Oreochromis niloticus: one gene and its partners. The protein of the gene in region 3 interacts with the protein of the main gene of each other region in a pairwise test. Links are inferred from orthologs where the notes say so. Each region holds a gene or a part of one and is shown on either strand. Other genes may lie near its edges.

Region 1 (7,984 bases), on a different chromosome or scaffold from region 3:
GGGTGACAGTAATACTCAGTATTGATGGTACCGGTTGAGAGGAGCCCCATTCTGCAAAGAGTACTGACCGGGCTGCTGATGGTGTGGGTGAGAGTTTTGATTGGCTGGTACCAGCACATCAAACACACTCTTATTTGGAGGCACAGATTGCAACATGTTGTCCAGGTCCATGAGTAAAGGAGGGGCTCTCACTGAAACTTGTCTACTGGGGAGGATGGGCCAGTATGTATGGCCCAAGAAGTGACTTGGTGTCATGGGAGAGCTACCATAGCCGTAAATGGGTAGCCCGCTGTGCAGGGGCATCAGAGGACCCCCGTTGAAACGCATGCTAGGTGGGGCAACGACATTCGGGGGTGCATATTTAGCGTAGGAGGTAGGGAGCTCCCATGGAGGTGGTACAGATTCCCGTCTGGCTGATTTCTGCAGTGGTGGCCTGCAAATATCTGCCCCTGCTTCCACATCAGGAGGAACACGCTTCCCAGTTACTCCTTTCCACTCTTCATCAGATGAAGACGAGGAAGAGGAGGAGGTGGAGGCTGGGCTCGCAGAGCTTGCAGAGGCACTGCGAGCAGAGGAGGTGTAACGATGTTGCGGAGCCGGTGAAGGCCGAGCCCGAGCCACCTCACCCCAGCAGTCCCCAGAAGCCATATCTAAATCCCCTGAAGCACTGATTGGCCTCAGGCTGTGTAGCAGGGAGTCGATGGCAAAGGACGAATCCAGCTTAGGTCTGTACAAGTCGTCCTGCATTGGGAAAGAGTTTCCAGAAGATTTGGGAGGGAGCGAGGTCACAGGTTCAGGAGGTGCCTCAGACTCAGGGTTGTGTCCCTGCATGATGTAAGGAGCCAGATCCTGAGCAAAGATGGTTTCATCCTGGCGGGACACGGCCGTGTTCTGCCTCTTGAGAAGCTCCAGAGGAATGCGGCTCAGCTCCACTGCCCAGAAATTGCCTTTGCCCTGTGGCTTACCTGGGTCTTTTAATACCTACAGGGTGGAGGAAGGATGGACAGTAATATTAGTGCTTGCCTGGACAACCTAGTCTGACAGGACTGACCTAGTTTCATTAATAATTATCACAACACAAGTGATTTAAAGTGGGTTCTAGGTTTTAATAGAAAGACTCCAATGGTGTATTCCTACACTACACGAGTGTAGGGAAAAACTACAAGAGTAGGGTTTTTTTTAGTTTTAGTTTTTTCTCTGTTTAATGATCATTACGTAACATTTTACCATACAAACCTTAAGAAAGCAGTCATATGAGGAAAGGTTGTGTCGCACAGAATCTCGCCAGCCTTTGTAGTTTCCTTTGAAAAATGGAAAGAGGGTGCTGATCTCCTTGAGGATCTAAAATTTAAACAAATATCAGCATTAAATTCTGAACCAACACAGACACACCAGCATCACAGATTTTCGTTATATAGTCACTATGTTAACTGCAATCCATGCTTGCGTAAAAACAGCTCGGTGAAACTACAAATTTCAATATAGGATTTGGATTTTTATACTTATTGAACTTATAATAGAATTTTAAACAAATTGAAAATACGTTTTCCATCTGGTACAAAAAGCGAATGGAGCCCCCATTTGAAGCCTAATATTGGAATGTACTGTATATCTTATCACTGTTTCTGATACAGATCTGCGTCTGGTTCCACTGCAGTCCACCCTTATCTCAGCAAACCAAGAAGGGAACGGGTAGAAGTCACTCAAGTGTCACGACGATGTGGCTGTTTAGTGTCACTTTAGGAACTGTAAACGATCTTCTCAGACAGATTGTAGAAATTTCGCATAAAACTCTAATGGAGTCTACTCTAAATACACGACACAGTGATGGATTTGCTTCTGCTGATGCAATAAGTGACGATCATAAGCGGCACCGTGCGTAAAACACCGCGCGCATCGTCTACACACAAATGCCAAACTCCGGCAGCATTTACACAGTTAACACATAAAAGCATTAGTTTTATCATTACCTCAGCTAACGTCAGCTTCTTCTCTGGAGACCTCTGGATGACCATAGCGATCATTGCAAGATAGGAATACGGAGGTTTTGGGTACCTCTGGTAGTTCTTTTTCTTCCCACTGCCGGCATTTCTTTTCTCCCGTTCACTTTTCCACATGTCCTGCGTTTCATCCTGCTTAAACTGTCCATCTTGATCATTCGGGTTGAAAGATCCAGGCGGTTCCTCTTTAGCCATGAATCCTGTGGCGCCGGTGAGGTGTCCGGGGCGCTCCGTTGGTTCCTCCGAGCGCGGCAGCTGCTGGGGAGGCATCGGATCCGAGAGGTAAGGCCAGTGTTGGGCTGGTGAGCTCCACGGCGCTACGCCGCTGGGAGGAAAACTCTGCTGCTCATTTCTGTGGAAGTCAAGTTGATGGTCGAGAAGTTCTCCTAGGTGGGATGAAGCGATCGGTGCCAAGAGACTCTGCCCCGGCCAATGCTTTGTCATGCTGATCAGTCAGGGGAGGAATATCGCTCTGCACGTAGAGGGGGAGGAGGTCAAAGAGTCGGTCCTTAACTTCTGGCAGACTGCTGGCTCCAGGCTGACTCTATTTGAAGAGCAAACAATTAACAGTTTCATGTAAATCCCGCTGCGTAATCGGGGGGGTGAATGATGCGTTATCTGAAAGCAGAATGACTGATCGGCCCTGGGGGCTGGGCTGGGTCTGTGTGCGAAGAAGGGAGAGAAAGAGAGGGCCAAACTGTAAACCACCCATACGATACCTTATCAACACGCCGACATGCAACGTAGTGATTCCGCAACTACTTTAGAAAACTCTGCTTACAAGATTCTTGCTTGGAGACTTTAAGTGTTTGGGGAACACATCTACATTAATACAAGTCTGGCTTTACACAATTACACATTTTAGGCTTACCGTACACTTTTTAAATTATTTGTCTATTTAATTTTAATATCACTAAAGCTTTTACTTGGGCTTAGACGTGAAAGGTAAAACTTGTGGGGGTAGGGTGGGTACAAGTAATTTCGATTTAACCTCGGATGCAATCAACAATTATAGATGAGCAATATACACAAGAGAGGGCTAATATACAAACACTAAAGATGCCCCTTTCAGTACTTCATTTATTTATTAATTATTAAATAAGCAATTTAGCCTTCACTGCCTACTGAATTCTTTTAGATATTTTTTTTAATTGTGAGAAACTAAAATCAAATTAGCCAAATTGTGTATTTGATTTGGCTCTTAATCCAGAGGAGAAACTATTCCCATGAAAGCTATTCCAAAAAAAAGAAGAAAAGCATAAACTACGCTGATCAGCTGATTAGTAGGTGCAGTATATTTGAAGTCATCATTGTTTTGTGTTGTTTGATAACGCGCTGCAGTCGACGGGGGTGTTTTTCCACAGTGGGGTCTCCCTGGGAGTGTTGAGCATGCCATTCAGCGCTGAAAAGACTATTTTCGGGTATGCGCCTCTTTTGTTCAACTTAACGTAGTGCTAATGTTGAAACTCTTGCTTCCCAGCAAGACAGTGAAAACAAGCTGGATTAGAAGGAACCCCATCGGGAAGCTGGAGACTTTTCCATCCCAAGAAAAAGAGAAGCTGCTTAGCATGTGAGGAAATACGGGGGGTTTCAACACCATTTGTGGGGTTTCTGGCGCTTACAAGCTGCTAAGTGTTGTAGTTGGGTCGAACATTCACACCTTAAACAGGGGCAATCACGTACACCCCCAGCTGCTGGAAAATGCCTCAACATCTCCCTCAAGCAGAAAATTTTTTTATTAACAAGTCAACCAAAGAATCAACTTTAGGATCCATCATGTGACAAAGCGTGAACTTTGGCACGGGATTGTAAAGAGTTTCGCACTAACGCGCAGATTAAAGTTGATTTGATCCAACAGTTGTGTCACCTGAAAGTTACAGAAACAGCAGAGCTGGAAACAACTCCGTTTTCCTGCAATTAAAATCCATTTACTTTCAACAGGCGCTACTGGGCGTTTTCACATTGACCCCCACTCACATCACACCACTCCACAAGTTAACCTTACATGTCCAGGCAACAAAGCTGATGGCGCTCTTTTAATCAGGTTGCTGTAAAAATTAAAATAAAAAAGGACGCTCTGATAGTTTTTGCTTTGTTTCAAATAAACAATTCGCCCGTGTGACAAACTTACCGCACAAATGTGTAATTTCTGCAGGAATACGCAAAAATATTTGAATGAGTTTGTTTGTTTTTCTAGGTCAGATGGCATTCCTAAACACGGTGAACATCAAATCTCCGTTGCACACCTGCTTCAAATTGGGTCAGTATTTTTCTTCCACTGTCGGTGATATTCTCTTTAGGTTTATCCCCCCCTAGCGGTTTCACTCAAAACCCACAGAAGTACTAACTTCATGGAAGAATTAAAATTAAGCAACATTAAATAAGATTCATAAATATGTGGAATTTAAATTCCTCATATCTCTTTCTATTTGAGAGATTCGGAGACAATTAAACAGGTATAAGAATGATTCACAGCCTAAGAGTCTCAAACAAAAAATCAGATTAAAAATGGAAAACCTCTGTAAGTTATACATAAAAAATGAATACATGGTATATGTCTGAAAGTTAAGAAACAGCTGAAAGTAATGGATACATTTTCAATCAGGGAATGGCAGATTAATTGTAATGCTACAAAGTAACAGATAATAATAATAACAAAAGTAAAAGAGATAACTAAATACTAGATACTTTTAGGAGGTACTGGAAAAACAGTACCGAACACATGCTGAAACCTGACACAAAAAAGGGTGGGAATCACTGGTGTATATGGGGAAACTCCTAAACTATCACTTACTATGTTTCCACCTGCATTTGCATAACATTCTCCAATGAAGGGCTCAGTGCCAGACGCACCGATTTGAATACAAACTGTCAATTTATCCCTTCCTGTTTGCTGGAATGCTAGTTAATAAGTCTGATCTGGATTAGAGAGCCACACATAAAGAGAATGGGATCCTACGTGAATAGGTCAGCATCAGGGACAAGGCTCTTCACGTGGGATGATTGAGTCCAGACAAATCCTTCCTAAGCTGTCATCCATCCCGATACTGGGATAGAGGAGGAAGAAAGGCATGCTCTTTAGAGAAAGTAAGGAAAAGTTTGATCTGAGATGTGTCAATTAAGACAAGAGTGACTTTTGCTTACTTAAGCAATAAAAAAAGCATACCATTGGTTAGTACTAGCATTTAGAAAAACCTGTATCAGGTGTTTCTGACCTTTTGTCTGTAGGCTGGTATCAGGCAGTGTTTATCTGTCATGCCACATGGATTTTGGCTCTGCTGAAGCATTCAAAACTAGAATAATGACAAACTAAAAGGCCTGAAAAGTAGTATTTTCATTTACCCTGAAGATTTCTTTGCTTTCCTGACACAGAAATGGATAATAAATATTTGTGTAAGCCAAATCCAATTGATTTTAAACATGGGCATCACTGGTTTCAGAATTACAAGTCACTCTGCTCTTTGTTTGCCATCATTTTTATGAAATTCGTTCTATGCATATTCAAAACACTTGAAGAAGCGCTACACTGAATCTTCTCCCGAGGACCAGAGATGGTAACAAAAGCTCCAACGCAGTTTCCTTGTTGTGACTCTGCAGGGTATCACCGCTGTGATGCATGGCTGGGTCACTGCGGGGGTCAGCAGGTCTTCAGTGTCTGTCTCGTTTTTAGGATTTAGTAACTGATTCGGATGCTCACAGGGACACCTTGTGTTTTTCATTGTCCAACAGTGTTTTTGGCTGAGTGCCTCAAAATTGATTTTTAATTATGGGAGTGGTAAAGACACACTTGTTCAGGCTTGTGTGTTGCAGCGATTATCATTTAGTTACAAAACACACCCTAACAGTTTACTGTGAAAAGACTGCAGTGAATTCACATTTCTAAGAACGCAGGTGCATAGGCAAACACATCCTTATACATGCAAACACACCCTTAATATCTGACTTAAAAATGAAGGATGGGTTGTTTTTACACTAAGGTAAGTTCAACCTGTTTATTTTTTAATGTTTTTTTTATTCCTTTTTAGTAGTCTTTTGGCATACCGTAACCTCAAGTTGCTCATTTGAATGTTCAAATCTGAACTTCTTGATTAAAAGTTGTTGTAATCGCCTGAAATATCTACTCACACACATGAAAGTATAATGACCACAGTTAAGACTCCAGTCCACTCCACTTTCTCTGGAACTGCTGTGCAATCTTTGATAATCGCACCATGTGTGTGTCTAAAATGAATTCTGCTGCATCTATAAATATATGAATGTTAATGTGATTTACTGTTTACATGCCAGCTTCATTAGGGTTGCGGAAAGGCTTAATAGATCCTTAGCACCAGCACAGATTTTTCCACAAAGTTGGCTAACTTCAGTTTCTGGCAAACATTCAACCAGAAACACATTAGTTTCAACATTTCAGCTTCAATCATTAAGCATTAAGAAACCAGTGCTGTCCAATCAACTAGACGAGTAAGATCTCTGTGACTTAACTTAATATCATGACTAATGCAGGTTGTAATTGCATCAGTGTCACAATCAATAGGCCATCTGCATTTTGTTCCAGTGATCAAGCAAAGATTTTGATGATTTTTGATGATTTGTTTCATTTTTAACTAATACTGCGTATTTACAAGTATCTATTAGTGTTTGTTAGTATTTATTGAATGTGTATCATAAGGGCTGGACTGGTAATTTGGCATACCGGGGTCAATATAATTGTTTTTTGTTTGTTTGTTTGTTTGTTTTTGGTCGATATGCTTATATAGGCAACAGGTCGTAGGCCCGCTGTGCACCGGACCTTCAAACACAGCAGCCCATTGGTACATTTTCATTATTGACACTGGATTGCCCAATCAAATATCTTAATTTCAAACTGTTCCCTCCCCTGCCAGCGTTCCCTGTGCGCCCGCGCACCTTGTATACGAGATTTTATTGTGAAAGACGTGGTTGATAAAGACAGCAAAACGAAAGGTGGAGCTGAAAAGCTGAGAGACAAAAAGAAAGAGAAACAAAAATGCAACAAAATGAGTCAAATTAACCGACATGTTAGTAGGTAGCTACATTGTCAACAGCAACAACTAGTAAAAAACCCTCGCGTCACAAACGACTGCTGTTGTTAGCACTAGTCTTGGAGAAGTGCAGGAGGAGAGACAAGTCCCAAAAAGAGAGTGGTAAGAATGATGGAGGGAAAAAATTAGAAGGGCAGAGATTCAAGTAAAATGAATGGCTACTTTGACCACAAGCCACCGCTAATAGCTAAAGTACAGCTTTTAAATATAACATGATGCACTACAGTATAACTCATTATTAGTCAGTACATAGTGTCGTGATTTCTTTTGTACCAGTCCAGGCCTGTCTAGCATGTATGCGGAATTTGTTAATGCCCCCCTGGGGATGAATAAAGTATCTATCAGTCTATCCCAATGACTGTGGTCTATCCACTTAAAATATCTTTATAGAGCCTTTATGTTTGTTGCAATTTCTGCTGCCCTCTTGGCCAGATCTCATTTTAAAAAAATACCATTTTTAATCTCAGAGAGACTTTTTTTGTACCTGGATAAATAAATAATGTATAAAATTCACTTTGTCAAAAGCTTGAATGCTGCTTACACATTGGAATGTTTTTGTGTTTTTGAGTCAGCAAGTCATTTATAACAGTTTAAATACGGGCATGTTTTTGGCAGATGATCACCTGTCTCCTGCCGCCCCGCAACCTGCAGACTTTGCCGCCCTCTGGTGGAGGCTGTCCGGCGGGAGGAGAGGGCGCAGGTCCGGTTGTTATGGTGAAGCATTTCCCCAGAGGGCTGGCTGAAGTTGGAGCTGCGGCGGACAGCAGCTGATTCAGTTTCACGGCTCGCACAGGACCTACCGCTGACAGGCAGCTCAACAGGTAAGATGTCGCCACTTTGTTTTTCTACTGTTTTACAATGAGTCTGCACGTCCTGCTCGGTTCAAACGATTGTGTATAAGTTGAACTTAGTTGTCGCTGAGAC
Region 2 (7,091 bases), on a different chromosome or scaffold from region 3:
ACTTCTCTAAGTTCTCATACTTTTATACTGTTTTTTTTTTGTTTTTGTTTTTTTTAAATGCTGCCTGGCTCAAATGACAGTCATTTGTGAGTTTCAGCATGGGGTTATTTAACCCATGTTAGAAGACATCCTGTTGTTATGGAAAGATGTTAGGAAAGGTTGGATCATGTTATTGGCAAGCAAAGAAAACAACCAAGGATATTGCTTAAACTACTAAAAGTGGGTTAAAACCTATCCAACACTTTGTTAAAAACTGGAAGGATAGTGGTGAACCACCATCTTGGAGAAAGAAGTGTGGTTGGAATAAATCCTGAATGTTTGAAGATCAATGGGGGGGGGGGGACAGCAGTGGAATAGACAGCTATGTTTTAATACTGAAAGTAAAAGCATTTTCCCACAATGCAAAGAGAACTCAAGGAGTTCTAACTGAACAGCTGTGTAGCCTTAAAATAACTACTCAGTAGTAATGCTAATTAGTAGGGCTGCAAGTAAAGATTATTTTGGTAGTCGACTAATCTGCCAATTTCTTTGATTAGTCAATTAGCCAATGATTATAACTCTTATCTCCGCTAAACTAAACTAAACTAAACTAAAAATGGCTTCAGTCCATAAGTTCAAATAAAGCTTCGAATTAAATTAAAAAGTTTGTTTTCCAGTCCCAAAAAAACAGTTTCCAAAGTTTACAGATGATTCGATTCATGAATTCATGATTGCAGTGGACATGATCTGGAGTGAGGCTTGATCTTATTTTTGAGATGATGTTCTCAGCTGCAGCTGATAACCAGATGGTGTAGTACTCACTGCCAATTAACCTGTTTAACTGATTATAATTATTATATAGTTATTTGTTGATATAGTCCAACCCACAGATTAACTACCTAACGTTAGGTAGAAGAGGTTTATTATAATATTAATGTACGGAAAAAAATAGGAAGCAGTTTAGCTACTCCTGTTTAATGGTTTAGTATTGGATTAAACTCAATAGCTAACAAAACTGAAATGTTGTTTGCTTAGAAAGTATCATCCTAAGAAGTTTCTGACAACTAAGCTAACATAAACATTACTGTACAAACACTAACATAAACAACGTATCAACGTGACGCACTAACTTAACTCTCTAAAACTGTCAAAAGCCAGCTCCAGGGCGCCGGCGTTTTGAATGCTTGTGCACTGCAGTAGTGCTGTCTGCTTTGCACCATCTGGATTCAACTTTGTTTGTTTTCTGTGAAATGACTTCACATAAAAAAAAAAGTTTCCATTTTCTTCTATCCTCCTGTTTTGCTGTTTGCGCTACGTTCTTCTTTGTTAGTGTTGAGTGCAGCCTTGGAAGACAATATAAGTGATGGTGCCCCCATAGCTTCCTGTAGTCTATTGCAGTTACAAAAACACATGTACTTGGCATTAGTATATAACACGTGGAAAATTGAATTCCAGATCAGTTTACAAGGAAACATAAAGATGGGACTCTGGAGCAATAAAAAAAAAAGATCATGTGGTCTGCTGAGTACAGATTTACCCTGTTCCAGAGTGATGCGTGCCTTAGGGTAGGAACACATGTGGATGAAGTGATGCACTGATCAAGACTAGTACCTACATTACAAGCTTGTGGATTCAGGATTTAGGTCTAGATTCAGCAAGACTGTGTGTCCATAAAATGAGGTCAGCTGACTACCTGAATCTATTGAATGACCAGATTTTTTTTTAATCAGCGGGGTTTGTTTTTTCATCTCTCTGATAGTACAGCATATTCTGAGATGACAATGCCAGTATTCATTAGGCTCAAAATGTGAAAGAGTGGTTCAGGCAGCGTGACACATCATTTTCACACTCATCCACATCTTAACCCGAGTGAGAATCTTTGGGATATGCTGGGGAAGACTTCACACAGCAGTCCGACTCTCTCATCATCCATACAAGTTAAAAAAATGAATGCAACTCTGGACAAAACTAAATGTTGCATTACGTAACCCGATCAAAATGATACCACAGTGAATGTGTGTCGTTATAAAAGCTAAAAGTTGTCCAATTAATTTTTAGACTATGACTTTCCCCCCCCTTTTTTTGAGGGAGCCAGGCATTAAAAACAGCCAGTTGAAACAGTAGGCTAACGACTTATCAGTTGTAGCTTTTTGTTTGTCTTAAAAGATTTTCAAAGAAAGACAGAAATATGGTCAACTTACGGTCTCAAGAGCTTACACAAGCATAAACCTGCAAACGATATTGTTTTTTTCCCACCTGCATAATAATTTTCTCTCCTCTCCACAGATGATTCAGAATTTCCAAGATGAAGTTTGTTTTGTTTTGGACACGATGAAAGGTATGACTATGGCAGCAAAAAATTATAGTTTATCTCTATCTGTATTTACCGTTATAGTCTTGCTGCAAGTTTATCTTAGTGTCTTTCCCTGATATTTTTTATTTTTATTTTTATTTCTATTCCTTTCTTTTTCAGATGACACAAGTGACGGCTACCATATAATCTTAAAGTGAATCCTAGGCAGGAGAGTTGTCGAGTGCTTCTCTCTTGTTTAGTCCTGGTTCAGTCAGCCCCTCTAGAGCTTTGTACTTTTTGCTGTTCCTTTCTGGAGATGTGCCCCCCCCCAAAAAAACCCCCAAAACAAAAACCTTGTGAGGCAGCTAGGAGGAAGATGCGACTGAAGCAGTTGCCCCTCTTTTAACTTTACCTTATCGTCTGACTTTTGAGGGAGTGACTCTGGTTCCACAGTGAAGTGTCACCCTGCCGTTTGCTCACTTAAATGGTTGCATTTCCCTCTGTTGGTTACATCTCAAGGAGGTTAATGGCACTACAGCTGCTGTTGTTTGTTACCTGACCATCTGGTATTGCCAAGACTCTTTGCTTCGAGTTCAGCCGTTTGTTCTCTCTTTAAAAAAAACAAAACAAATGATGACATTAAAGATGACGGTACTTGACTTTCAGCCTGCAATTCAGTATGAGTCGTCCTCTTCATGCGAGGTTGCCTTACCGAATCCAAGCCAGTCTGCAAGAAACACAACCACTCAGTTGAATCATAGTACAGCAGGTATTAAAATTAACAACTGGACAATTAAGGGAAACTGTTAGAATCCAGCTGCCCTTCCAAATATCAGAGGTTCCTTTGAAAGCTAACAATGTCTGCCTGTTACTTCTGTGGAAAAAAAGGCTACTAAACACTGTTAGATTGTCATAGTTTGTTTAGAATGCTTACTGGCACATGTGATTGTTACTTAATCGTCTTAAAAGATGATAAGCACTGTCTGTGTTAGTGATCTCCGTGGTAACACCAGCAAATTGTCTCCATCTGCTTCCTGTATCTATGAGCTTGTTTAGCACACCAGAGTTTTATTGTTTGTTTTTTGGTCATTTCCATCATAATTTTGAAATGGATCATTGTTTTAAAATAATTTAAAATGATGAATCATGGGGTTTTTTTTTTTTACATTTTAAAAAAATCTTTTTTACATACTTACATCTGCTCTGCTTCCTTTTTTTGGATGTTACAAATGCTAATAAATAAGTTGTTGGGCAGTACAGAGCTGCATGTGAATAATATGGTTTACGTTGAGTATGTTGTAAATGGAATTGATGGCTCGATATCCATATTTGCCCCTCATCTCATCGGCATTATTAAAACTTAACCATGTACTGGCTGCTATTTGGTGTCTACATCTTTCTTTAAAATATATAAAATAATGTTTAACGTGTTCTAAATGTTCTGAAGCTTTCCTATAAAAGGAGACACGATATTTTATTGGCACTGTCTAGCACAGGCTCCACATCTGTCCCTTTGGTGTACAGATGTGGATGCCTAGTCACTGACATCCACATCTGTCCCTTTGGTGTACAGATGTGGATGCCTAGTCACTGACATTTGAGTAAACTTTAGTATGTCATATACTGTTAACCAAATTAAGCTTAAATGCAGGTTAATTTAGCGCACTGAGGTGTCGTGTTTTGCACATCTGCTTCTGCACAATATGAACAAAGAAACAGGAAAAAAAAACCCGAAATAGAAACTTCATCTCCCAGCATACCCCGGCGCAGGACATGGCCGTGATGTCACAATAAGTATATATACTGCTACAGGGAAGAATTTCTACCTCCATTGTTACATTGTAACAAACGGGGCCGGGGCGAAGCGGGGAGAAAGGCGTCTTCTCGCTAGAAAACCTGCAAGATTTTGACACCAAACGATAAAGAGCAGAGCGCACCGTTATTGCGAGAAGACGGCGAAGTAAGCCCAGACGACTGAACCCGCCCCGGCGAGAAGAAAAGGATAAACGAACACAGATGTCAGCGGATTTCTCCATTACACCCATTTAAAGGCTTACATCAGGAAGACAAGACACTGAGCGTCTTACATTATTCATGCTGCACCGAAAAATGTTGGAGAATAAAGCGCAGCTAACCCTATGACGCCCCTTCTTCCTATCGTCTGTCCTTTATATAGATAGGAATGCATCATTTAAATAAAACCCGCCGGTCTAGCACAGCTCCTGTTTTCTTCGTCATCTTTCAGTGTGCAGAACAATGAGCATGAAGCCTAAGTAGCCTGAAATAGCCAAATATAAGTGTTGCAAATTGACAATCACGCAAGCTTTCATCCAGATTACTTCGGCTCCACGGTTGCAGTCTGGATACTCGGTTCAGGGATCTCGGTTTTGGCATAAAAGAGCCTCTCATAGGGCGTTGAAAGATTGATGTGCAGCTCCTATTGGAAACAGAAACGACCTACGACTTGGTTGGAATAAGGGTCCCTGTTTCTGCCCCAGGTAAGTGGGTTTAGTGTTTCATTAACCGGGCGGTTTGCCATTGTGTCTGTGTGTGGTTCTCTTTCTCTCTGTGTGTGTATGTGTGTGAAATGGAAAGAGAGAGGGAGAGACAGAGAGAAAGAGAGCCTTGCCTTGTCAGACTGGCAATATCTAACCTCCCCCAACACAGTCAGTCGGTATGTCCACATTTAAACAAATAGCTCCTCTAAACTGCGTGTCCCTGACGGGTAATATACCGTGAAGTCACACCTGTCGGTAAACATCCTGTAACATGTCAAAGGCAAACTTAAGTCCTGAAAGAAAAGCCTTAAATTCTTAAACTGAAATAAACATTTAATGTCAGATGTGTTACTCTGGTTTTAAAAAAAGGGCACACATTTGGTGTTATAACCACAGCTGCATCTTTACAGGTTAGGCCCTGTCCCTTACAGCCTGTCAAGGTGGGCAATTTTGTTGAAATTAGGTCAAGGTATTAGTCTTTAATGCTCATAATTATTATTAGGACATAGATTAGATAATTTTGGACTTTCCCCCCTCAGAAGTAGTTCCAGGAAAGATCACTTAGGCTGCATTTGAGCAGCTTCGCAGTATCAGCACATCCCTTTTTCTCTTTTTAGCTGAAGGACAAATTTAATTGTGCAGTTATTACATAAATTATGCTATAAACGTACATGTCAGTCCTTTTAATTTTGAACGTTCTCCTTCATGGACTTAAAAACACTGAAAAACTACAGAATGGGAGTTGCTCCATTTTGGAATGACATTACAGCATGCTGCATAGTAAAATATGAATTACCTTGAGAAGTAGCTGGTTCACACTATAGGAGGTATGGTAGTAATATGGTAGATTTAAGGTAGATGGATATAGTGTCTCTATGGGATATAATCATCGGTGTTAATATTGATGTGTAATTATTTGAAATGTATCTGTGTGAATGCAGATGTCTGTGTAATGCACAGGACATAACACAGTGTAACATCAGACATGTATTTAGCTGCTTTCATTCACCTTGTTTGACCTCTCCTACAGATGGAAGTGATCAGCTCCCTCCTTCAAATTCACCCATATCGATCCCTCCCACTACACTCAGTTTATAGCAGATTTTTTTAGGGGTAAAAACAGATTGTGAAGCCACAGACATTATTTGCTTCAAGGCTGCTTGCATAAACTGTGCTTGCCTAGTTGCCATGGTTACATTTTCAGACTTGATAATTTCAAAGTCGGATTTCATGTGAGATGGGAGCCACACAGACGAAATGATGGAGCTGGAATACAGATGAAAGGAGGCAGGAGCGAACAGATGTCACCTTTTTGTTCTGTTTTTGTTGTCAAGCTGACCTTACAGAGGAACAGTTTGATAAAAAAATTAGCTCATTCTCTAAGTGATAACAGGAGCATTTTGTTTCTAAGGTAGTAAATCACAACGTGTCATGTCTTCACATCTTTTGAAACACATTTACTGATGCTGGGTATTTTTTTGTGCTCCTCTGTGCCCCCAGATACTTAAGTTTCCATGGAGGCAGGTTCGTCCCTCAGCCTCAAACGAAGATATGAAGAGGTGGACAACAGCTCTCCATTCTCTACACCTAAGGACTCTGACGATGACATCTCCAGCAGTGACAGTGCTGACAGCTGTGACAGCCTCAACCCTCCCTCCAGCACTGCATTTACCCGTAAGAATCTCATTAAAGGAAGTCAAAAGAAACTAAACAGTTAATCAACGCGAGTATTTAGTATTAGGTGTGTAAGACTGTATTGAAAATCTTTCTCCCTCTTTCCCTGCTTTAGCCACCTCTATCCTCAGGCAGCACAAGCCGTCACCAGGGGGGAAACGGGTACGTTTTGATTTGGTGACGGTGTATTACTTCCCCCGGCGGCAGGGCTTCACCAGCGTGCCCAGCCAAGGGGGCAGCTCCCTGGGTATGGCCCGCCACCACTCCTCCATCAGACACTACACACTGGGGGAGTTTGCACGCGAACAGGAAACCAGTCACCGGCACACTTTGCGACAGCACCTGCGCCAGGAGAAGCTGAATGCCCGCAAAATGAAGGTAGATTAGATGTATCAGTCGTACCCCAAGAGGGTCAAAATTCAAGGCACAGTAGTATCTTGCAGCTGTGGGCACGTTGCATGTCTCCACTTGCAGTAGTGACTCAGTACATGTACTTCCGCTCTGTCCTTCAAGACTTTACAAAACTTTCTGCTTTGTGACCCCGTACAAAAACAGTCTAGCTGGGGCCCCTTTCCATAGTTCCCATGCCCGTGAGTTGCTAGGTGTCCTGCTGAAGAGTAATTACCCCCATTAAACTCCTGAAACAA
Region 3 (7,944 bases):
CTGCTCACTTGTGGTAGATAACAATGCAATCAGTCGATGAGTAGCTTATACTGAATGTTGATAACAGCTTTTGGCCAAAGGCTAACGGAGCAGACTGATTCAATTTTATGTTTGTGGAGCAAATGAAGGGTGTGCTGCATCTGTCTGCGCTTGTCTGGTAGGAGAGGCTCATGACAAAGCGCAGAGAGCTGCACTATGTACCGCGGAAACACCAGCCTATCAGTTTTGCAGCACACAGACAAATCTGATTAGACACTATACACTTCACAATTCATCTTGATACTTCTATCAGCAGCTACATCATCTAGCACACTAGTGGCCCAGGTTTACTGGTCACTATTAAAGTCTAACCTGGCCTCTGGTCAGGAGTTTCAAGTAAAACTTGTGTATTTACGTTCACAATCACTTGTCTTAATTGCAGACTTGACATGCCTCAACAGTGTTTTTCCTTATTAGGCGTCTTCTGTGGACTTAACAGTCGTTGGTGTTACTGATTAATAAATATAATAGTGCATTATTTCTGACTTTTCTGTTACCGTCAGAAGAAACCACTTACTGACCATACTCTATATTTACATTAATTAGCTACACTCTATTCTACTACTACAAGCTACTGTCTATTCTGACAAATGTCTTTCCCACAAAATTACACAAGACTGCACTGAAAGCTGAGCTCTCTTATCTTTGCACTGGCATTAAATGGCAGCATTAAAGTAATTCGTGACTATTCTAACATCAATTTCTCTCCATATTCTTTAAGTCTCTAGATATTTTTTTAAAGTAAAGCTTTAGTTGAACTTGTAACAACCTCTGGAAATACACAAATAATTTTACTTTGATGCAAACGCAAGCCAAAAAGGTCAAAACCCACTGTCCACAACACGCACCATGTGTGCTAGTATATTATCTCCCTGTACCAAGTGTTTCTTGCCTCTGGCCAGTACACGGCCACCTCCCACCTCCCACAGTGACGTTTCTGTTTGTGATGACGGAGGTGAGTACCTGATGGGCACGACAGATCAGGTCCAGGTCATGCTTGTGCAGGAACTTGGCTACCACCTCTGAGCCAAAGGTAAATGACACACCTCTGTCGTTCTCCCCCCAGCCCAACACATCCTTGTCTGGATCAGACCAGAGTAAATCACACAGCAGGCCCTGGTCAGGCACGTCAGTGGGACGCATGATGCGTCTGATCTGCTCCATGGACTGAAGGTCAGGGGACAGTCCTAAATGGAACAGTAAAGTAAAAGTACAAATAAACACACTGATACTGAGGTCAGCACCGATTGGAACTGGGTGAGCTTCATGTCAGGTAACAAATTGCAAAGACAGCGTTTCTCAAGGACAAATAAGAAACGCTGATATCAAATGTACACAACTTCTGACATCATGCATACAACCAAAAGACTGTAGAGTAGATAGTAGAGTTTTGTGCCAAAACATTCATTCTGCGCATTATAACCCACCGCCATGGCAGCAAAAGATCTTCTCATCAACAATGGCGGCAATCGGGAGGCAGTTAAAACAATCTGTGAAGGTCTTCCAGAGTTTGATGTTGTACCTTCTTTTACCTAACACAGTAAGACAAGAAATTATATTTAATTTTTTCCCATTATCTCATACCAACAACCTCCTTCAAACAGTTTAGCCGGCAAAAGAAAACGCAACAGAGAATCTGACAGGTACCCTTAATGGACACAAGAGACCCCAGGCTGGACATTTCTAGTCATTCAACAATACTCACACTCATCATAAAAACCATATATTCTGTTGATTGAAGCACACTCATGGTTTCCCCTCAGCAGGAAGAAGTTTTCTGGGTATTTGATTTTGTAGGCCAGTAGAAGACAGATGGTCTCCAGTGACTGCTTCCCCCTGTCCACGTAGTCCCCCAGAAACAGGTAGTTGCTCTCAGGAGGGAAGCCCCCATACTCAAACAGCCTCAGCAGGTCATAGTATTGCCCATGGATGTCACCTGCAAGGCAAAGATACCAAGCTGAATTATACACATTGCTCTTTTGAGTCATAAACCACTTATCATACGTCAGTACATACTATCAGCCAATTGCTGAGTCAATCTTTTCTGGTAAGTAAGTGCACAGCTTTTCTTACCACAAATCTTGAGGGGGGCCTCCAGCTCCAGGAGAATGGGTTGACTGAGGAAGATCTCCCTGGACTTGAGGCATAATCCACGAATCTCGTTCTCCTGCAGCTGAACATTCTTGCCAGGTTTTGCTCCTCTGACTGGAACAAGAAGACAAAAATCAATAAAAGTCAGTAAGAATAACACCTAAACACTATTCCAGCTAACCCGGGCACGGTATCTCTGCCCGGACGCCAAGTGGGACAAACGGTGAGTGTAGAAGCCATATGCCGTGACGGAATTCGCGGTGTTTGTGTATGAGAACACAGTGTACGTGACATGTCGTTTCACACCCTTCAGACACACCAATATTCTGACTCAAGAGACGCATTATATAAACCTGGTAGCCAACATTAATTAAAATAATAAGTTATCTTGCAAATATTTCTGATTATTGTTACTAATTATTGCCACAAGATGAACACCAGCTAAAGCTAGCTATCTACTATTAGCATTTACCATAACATTTAAATAATAAAACAAGTGTTTCGTGGAAATTTTAGTATTTACTTACCTTCTAAAAGCCGCTGGATGATACTATCTATGTTGAGCTTGTCAACATCAGCCATTGCAAGCGTTGGTGTTACGAAAAAATCGCTCCAGTAGATCTAGGTCTTCGCGTTGACACACTTGTGAAAGCTAGCCCGCTAGCTATCCTAGCATTAGCTTGCTAATGTTAGCTTCGTCTATTTTCCGGCTGAGGGTAAAAGATGTTGCCGTGACCCTGATACTGTTTAGCCGCTCGCCGACACTTTTGACAGGCTAATACGCTACTTAAAGATCGCGATTTTAAAAATGCCAACATCAATTGTTTCGTTTTGTTAAAAAAAGGGACGGGGACTATAAAAAAATAAGCGTCAACCAACACAAGCGGTTGCTAGCGACGGTGTCCCGTTTCTGTTTTTCCTTTGCCGCACCTTGTACTGCTAAAGCCAGCGGCTTGTGCTGGTAGCTGCTACACTACTGCCCCCTACTGTGCTGGATGGGGACAGCTTAAGACTTTATGAAGTCCTTTAAATTTTTTTCTTTGGATATTTGTTGATTTTTCACTCATTTTCAGTCCAGTCCTTGTACCTGACCATTTTCAGAGGGATATTTTTTTTTATTTGCGTGTTTTGTAAGCTACTTAACCCACAAAAGGGACCTAACTCAAGAAATGAATCAGTGTTGTTTCTACACATAACACACGACTTAGCGCAGAACCAATTTTAAACTGTACGTTGAGCCACTTTGTTATAGCCACCTGACACAGTACCTGAACGTCATGTCGTTTGGACAACATGACAGTGATACCAAACACACTGCCTAAAAGTATATCTGGATGGAAAAACACACACTATGGTTTGGCCTCCTCAGTCACCAGCCAAGTCCTCAACATTATCGAAGCAGTGTGGGATCATCTCAACAGAAAACAGAATAACAGGCAGCCAACATCCAAAGAAGAGCTTTGATTGTCCTTCAAAAAGCCTGCAGAACTATTCCTGAAGACTGCTTAAAGAAATGGCAAGAAAACGTCCCTAAAAACGTTCAGCCTGTTGTGAAGAATAAAAGTATTCATATCAAATATTGACTTTGAAGTTCATTAGAAATTTCTAAACTTTTGGCTTATATAGTCTATTTCCATGTATGCTTGATCTTGTTTCAATAAATTGCTCCACTTATTTTCCATTTTCCTAGCAAAGTATAATGAAATTAGGTTTTTTCACCATACCGGATATTAATTTTACAGGTTCCTGTTCTGTGTTATCTGAAGAGGAAAGAATTCAGTATGATGAACACTTTTGCTTCAATTTGAAAATCAGTTAACCAATAAAAACCTTAGAGACGCACCAATTTCTAGACAATCAAGAAATTGATTTACATGTAAAATAAAGATAAAGGGTATACAGTAAGTGTAATTACAGATTAGCTTCACCATTAACAGAAAGTGAGCTATGGTGGAGTAGCCACCTATTCTTCCATGGAAAAGTGGATGCAGACTGTTTAGAGTTTAACTTTAACATATATTTATTTAAAAGTTTTAGCTGTGATTGATAAAGTACAAGTATAGTCTCTAAATAGACACTGCATCTTTCAGATTAGCTGAGGTTAGTGAAAACCTGGGTGCAGTTGTTGTTTAATGAGTAGAAATTACTCCCTTTGGAAAATAAACCTTTAAACAGAGCCTTTTAAAGGACACACTGTCTACCTAGCAATCCTTTCCCTTATATTTATACACTTAAAGTACTCTTTAAGGCAAAATTGAACAAATGGGTCTTGGAGCTTCTGGGTTCCAGTGTTCTTCTACTGATCAACTGTGAGCACTGAAATAAAATGACTATATACAGATAATTAAATATCAATACTTATGGAAGATGAAATACACTGAGATTCAGCTTCTCCAATGCATCTCTCTGAGGTTGAATCTTTCTTTATTGATTTGTCAAAAACATCTGACGTCAAATACACTTTTAATTTCACCTTTGAAGAGATTACTAATTTATATTCAAATAATATACATACATATACATGTTATAATCATGAATGAATGAATAATGAACACATTGATCCATGTGCACATTCAAAAACTGAAGCTGAAGTTAGTTACATTTTTGCTGTCATATGTGATCATATCTCAGCACAAGTACGACCCGGTGAGGGAGGACGTGATTATTCCTGGTCTTTCTCTTCACCGTGTGTGATGACATAGACGAGGTTCTTGTAGTCCAGGTTCCCTGCCACATCTGGAGGGAACGCCTGAAACATCTGCTCCATCTTTGGGTACGAAGTAAAAAGAATGGTTACAGAGCGTATCTGCATTTATAAAAACTCAAGGCTCCACAATCTGTTACATCGTCGGAGGTGGAGCACTAACCTCTTCAGCAGAGAATCTGTCAGCCTGGGTCGTCAGCATCTCTGTCACACTGTGAAGACGAGCAGTGATGATCAGCAAACGAGATGCAAATATCACGAGTCGCTTAAGAACCAGACTATTACTCACAACTCTTTCTTTAGTGTTCCTTTTCCCTCAGGGTCAAAGACTTTAAAAGCATTAAGGATAGTCTCCTCTGGGTCAGCACCTATAGATGAAAAGTGGCAGTTCTGCATTGAAGAAAAACAATTTCACTTTTTTTCAACGTCATATAACGGCAACTCGTTTACCTTTTAGTTTCTCTCCAAACATGGTGAGAAAGACAGTGAAATTAATGGGCCCTGGTGCCTCCTTCAGCATGTCATCAATCTCTTCTTGTTTGACATTTAAACGGCCTGAAAAACATGGAATATATGGTGAAACGGGGGTTGCAATTAATGCTCATTTTTTAAACTGATATTTTATTGATGGAAAATAGTCCAATAAAGAGATTAAAACAAATCCACAAAAGCTCAATGGAACTATTAGATGGGTTGACTATACCATCCAGCCCAAAATGACCAAAGAAGGAATTAGAAGAGGATGCAATTGCTGGAAATTTGGAATAACAACAGTTTTCCAGCTTTGTATTAAAAAAAAAGAAATCTATAGAGATTTTTTCAAGGCACATTCTACGCTTGGTCCTTTAAATATAATCTAAAACCGCTGGAACATTTAAACAAATGTAGAACATGAAGTCAGCAAGCTTGATGGACAGTATTCAATATAATACACAAAATTTTCCAAAAAAATTAAACAAAATTGAATCCCAGGTCGATAAAGACTAGAACAGATTTGTTGCAGTAAGTTAAGGTTCTTCTTATACAAAATAAAAACTAAATGAACAATAATAAAGAAAAATGAGGTGTGGCTTTTGATAAAACTCTTTGAATGACTATCTAATCAATGTATTGGCGTAGAAATGGAAAATGGAATAGATCACACCACAAATGTTCGGAATAACTAGCTCAGGCAATAGCTATCATTATATCCAGAGGACATAATGTTGTTTATTGCAAAATGACTCAGTTGCAGGTTTAATACATTTAGTAGAAACAGTTGGAGATATTTCCGGGTATGCAGTAAATATGTTGGCAGTAAACCCTAGGAAGGAAAACATATGTATTAAAATAAAAACACCGGGAAAGGTTTTGAAACTCTTTTTGAAATATGTGGAAGATCTGGATCTGACCAGGAGTCAGTCAGTATCTGTTTGTTGTGAACCATGTGTTATTTAAAAAGATAAAAATATCCTTTTAATGTAAATTGGATCATGTTTGTTTGCTGTGCTTTTCTTGTTTAGTCTGTTTTGTATTCTTTTTAATAGGTTTGCTTGTTTATGTATAATATTAATAAGTCTTAGGTTGGGGGAAAAAAGTCCGCTAATGATTAATCTGATGACTGCTACAGCTCAGTTTGTCAGTTATCTGTTTCTTCAGACATTATTTTAAAAATGGTAATTATACATCCCAGAACTCAAGGTGAGTTCTACTAGCTGAGACAATGAAATTCGTGCATGTGAGAAGCTGGAACCTGAGAATTCCTAAGGTTTGTTTTTTGCTGGACTTGTGTAATGTAATCATGTGAAACCATCACAACAGAAACGTGACACACAGTGAGTTTACCTAAAGCTGCAAAGGTGTCCCTCAGGTCATTCTTGTCAATGAAGCCATCTCTGTTTTGGTCCATGATAGTGAACGCCTGCAGGAGTATACACAGCGAGCAGACATCGCAGTGAGTAAACCGCTCAAATTCAATGTGAAAGAAAGCATTTGGCAGAGTACCGACTTCTTTGAACTCCTGGATCTGGGCCTGTTCAAACATGGAGAACACATTGGAGCTGGCTCCCTCCGCTCTCTTCTTTGCTTTCTTGGGTGCCTGTGGGGGGTTTAACGATGACACTCTTAATTAGATCCAATAGTAATGACACACGATCGTCACCTGGCTCTTCCGTATGGCTTTACTCGTTATCGGTTTTACTGTCACACGTGGTAATGAGCCAACGATCAGCTCACTCTCACTAAGTGCGTGTGTGTGTGTGTGTGTGGTGGTGGTGGTGGGGGGGGTGCATCCATTGCACAAGAGGAAAGGTTTGTACTGGGGGGCACACATTTCATTAGTGAGGATTACAAACACTGTCAGTTTGTTATGGAAATATTTATTCGAGCCTCCAGTTTTGGGAGCACACAGGGTAAGCCTAGGGAGGGTGTGGTCCACTGCCTGCACTCTCATAGTCCCAGGATCACATGAGGGATTATTCTATAGGGTCTATGTGATGACAGGAGGGTACACTGAGCCCTGTTTGATCAGAAATCCCTCAGAGGGAAGGATTATGTTGAGCTATTTACATGACTGCCAAGAAACTGTGAAAAACACTGTAAGGGGGATGCAGCGCAGTGACATCATGTTGCTCGGATTCAGGGTCCTCTCGACAGCTGCTGTCTAACCCTTGTTGTGGATTAGCTCTTGTATATCTCATGGAAGGGACCTCTGGCATTCGGATACATTTATTTAATTATTTATTTTGTTTTAAGAGGATTCATGTACTCGTGGGCAATGAGGCAGAATTTGCCATTTCTTGCTGTTGCCCAATGCACATCACTGTTGGACCAGCGGAAACTTTATTGGGCCAAATATTACACGAATAACCACTGACCTCTTCATAGCCTGCACCTGTTGCTCATGTTTCTCTGCTGTCTGCTCCGCACTCCCTTTGTTTTGCTCTTTCCAACCCGGTTGGCTGCTCTTCTAAGTCTCTTCTCTGTTTTTTGCTGCCTTTCTCTCACCTCTCTCCTCTTCATCCCTCCCATTTCCTCTCCTTAAATATTGTGTGTGTTTTAAATGTCATTGTTCTGTTTTATTGTAAACACGGAGGAAAAAGTCGCAAGTAAAATATATTTTTTTTAAGGTT

The links. The genes of interacting proteins can lie anywhere in the genome.
Region 1: the proteins of serine/threonine-protein phosphatase PP1-gamma catalytic subunit (region 3) and ppp1r16a interact in binary tests that used the Homo sapiens proteins (3 or more experiments, as listed by UniProt). The link is inferred for Oreochromis niloticus from reciprocal best matches to the Homo sapiens genes PPP1CC and PPP1R16A.
Region 2: the proteins of serine/threonine-protein phosphatase PP1-gamma catalytic subunit (region 3) and csrnp2 interact in binary tests that used the Homo sapiens proteins (3 or more experiments, as listed by UniProt). The link is inferred for Oreochromis niloticus from reciprocal best matches to the Homo sapiens genes PPP1CC and CSRNP2.

Annotation. Positions count from the first base shown.
Region 1 is NC_031974.2:21,578,673-21,586,656, forward strand, and holds the start of ppp1r16a (protein phosphatase 1 regulatory subunit 16A), read left to right. Parts: upstream 1-4,979; 5' UTR 4,980-5,087; intron 5,088-6,975; exon of another isoform or gene 6,976-7,162; intron 7,163-7,675; 5' UTR 7,676-7,881; intron 7,882-7,984. Other genes in the region: foxh1 (forkhead box protein H1), read right to left, coding at 16-981, 1,237-1,341, 1,971-2,444. UniProt on the Homo sapiens protein: Inhibits protein phosphatase 1 activity toward phosphorylase, myosin light chain and myosin substrates.
Region 2 is NC_031984.2:9,326,512-9,333,602, reverse strand, and holds the start of csrnp2 (cysteine/serine-rich nuclear protein 2), read left to right. Parts: upstream 1-4,086; 5' UTR 4,087-4,770; intron 4,771-4,801; exon of another isoform or gene 4,802-6,181; intron 6,182-6,270; 5' UTR 6,271-6,284; coding exon 6,285-6,444; intron 6,445-6,559; coding exon 6,560-6,822; intron 6,823-7,091. Other genes in the region: tfcp2 (transcription factor CP2), read left to right, coding at 2,266-2,317, 2,453-2,490. UniProt on the Homo sapiens protein: Binds to the consensus sequence 5'-AGAGTG-3' and has transcriptional activator activity. May play a role in apoptosis.
Region 3 is NC_031977.2:6,410,786-6,418,729, reverse strand, and holds the start of serine/threonine-protein phosphatase PP1-gamma catalytic subunit, read right to left. Parts: upstream 3,085-7,944; 5' UTR 2,713-3,084; coding exon 2,658-2,712; intron 2,245-2,657; coding exon 2,113-2,244; intron 1,976-2,112; coding exon 1,745-1,975; intron 1,572-1,744; coding exon 1,467-1,571; intron 1,227-1,466; coding exon 1,003-1,226; intron 1-1,002. Other genes in the region: myl2b (myosin, light chain 2b, regulatory, cardiac, slow), read right to left, coding at 4,793-4,897, 4,998-5,046, 5,124-5,202, 5,285-5,389, 6,659-6,734, 6,822-6,911. UniProt on the Homo sapiens protein: Protein phosphatase that associates with over 200 regulatory proteins to form highly specific holoenzymes which dephosphorylate hundreds of biological targets.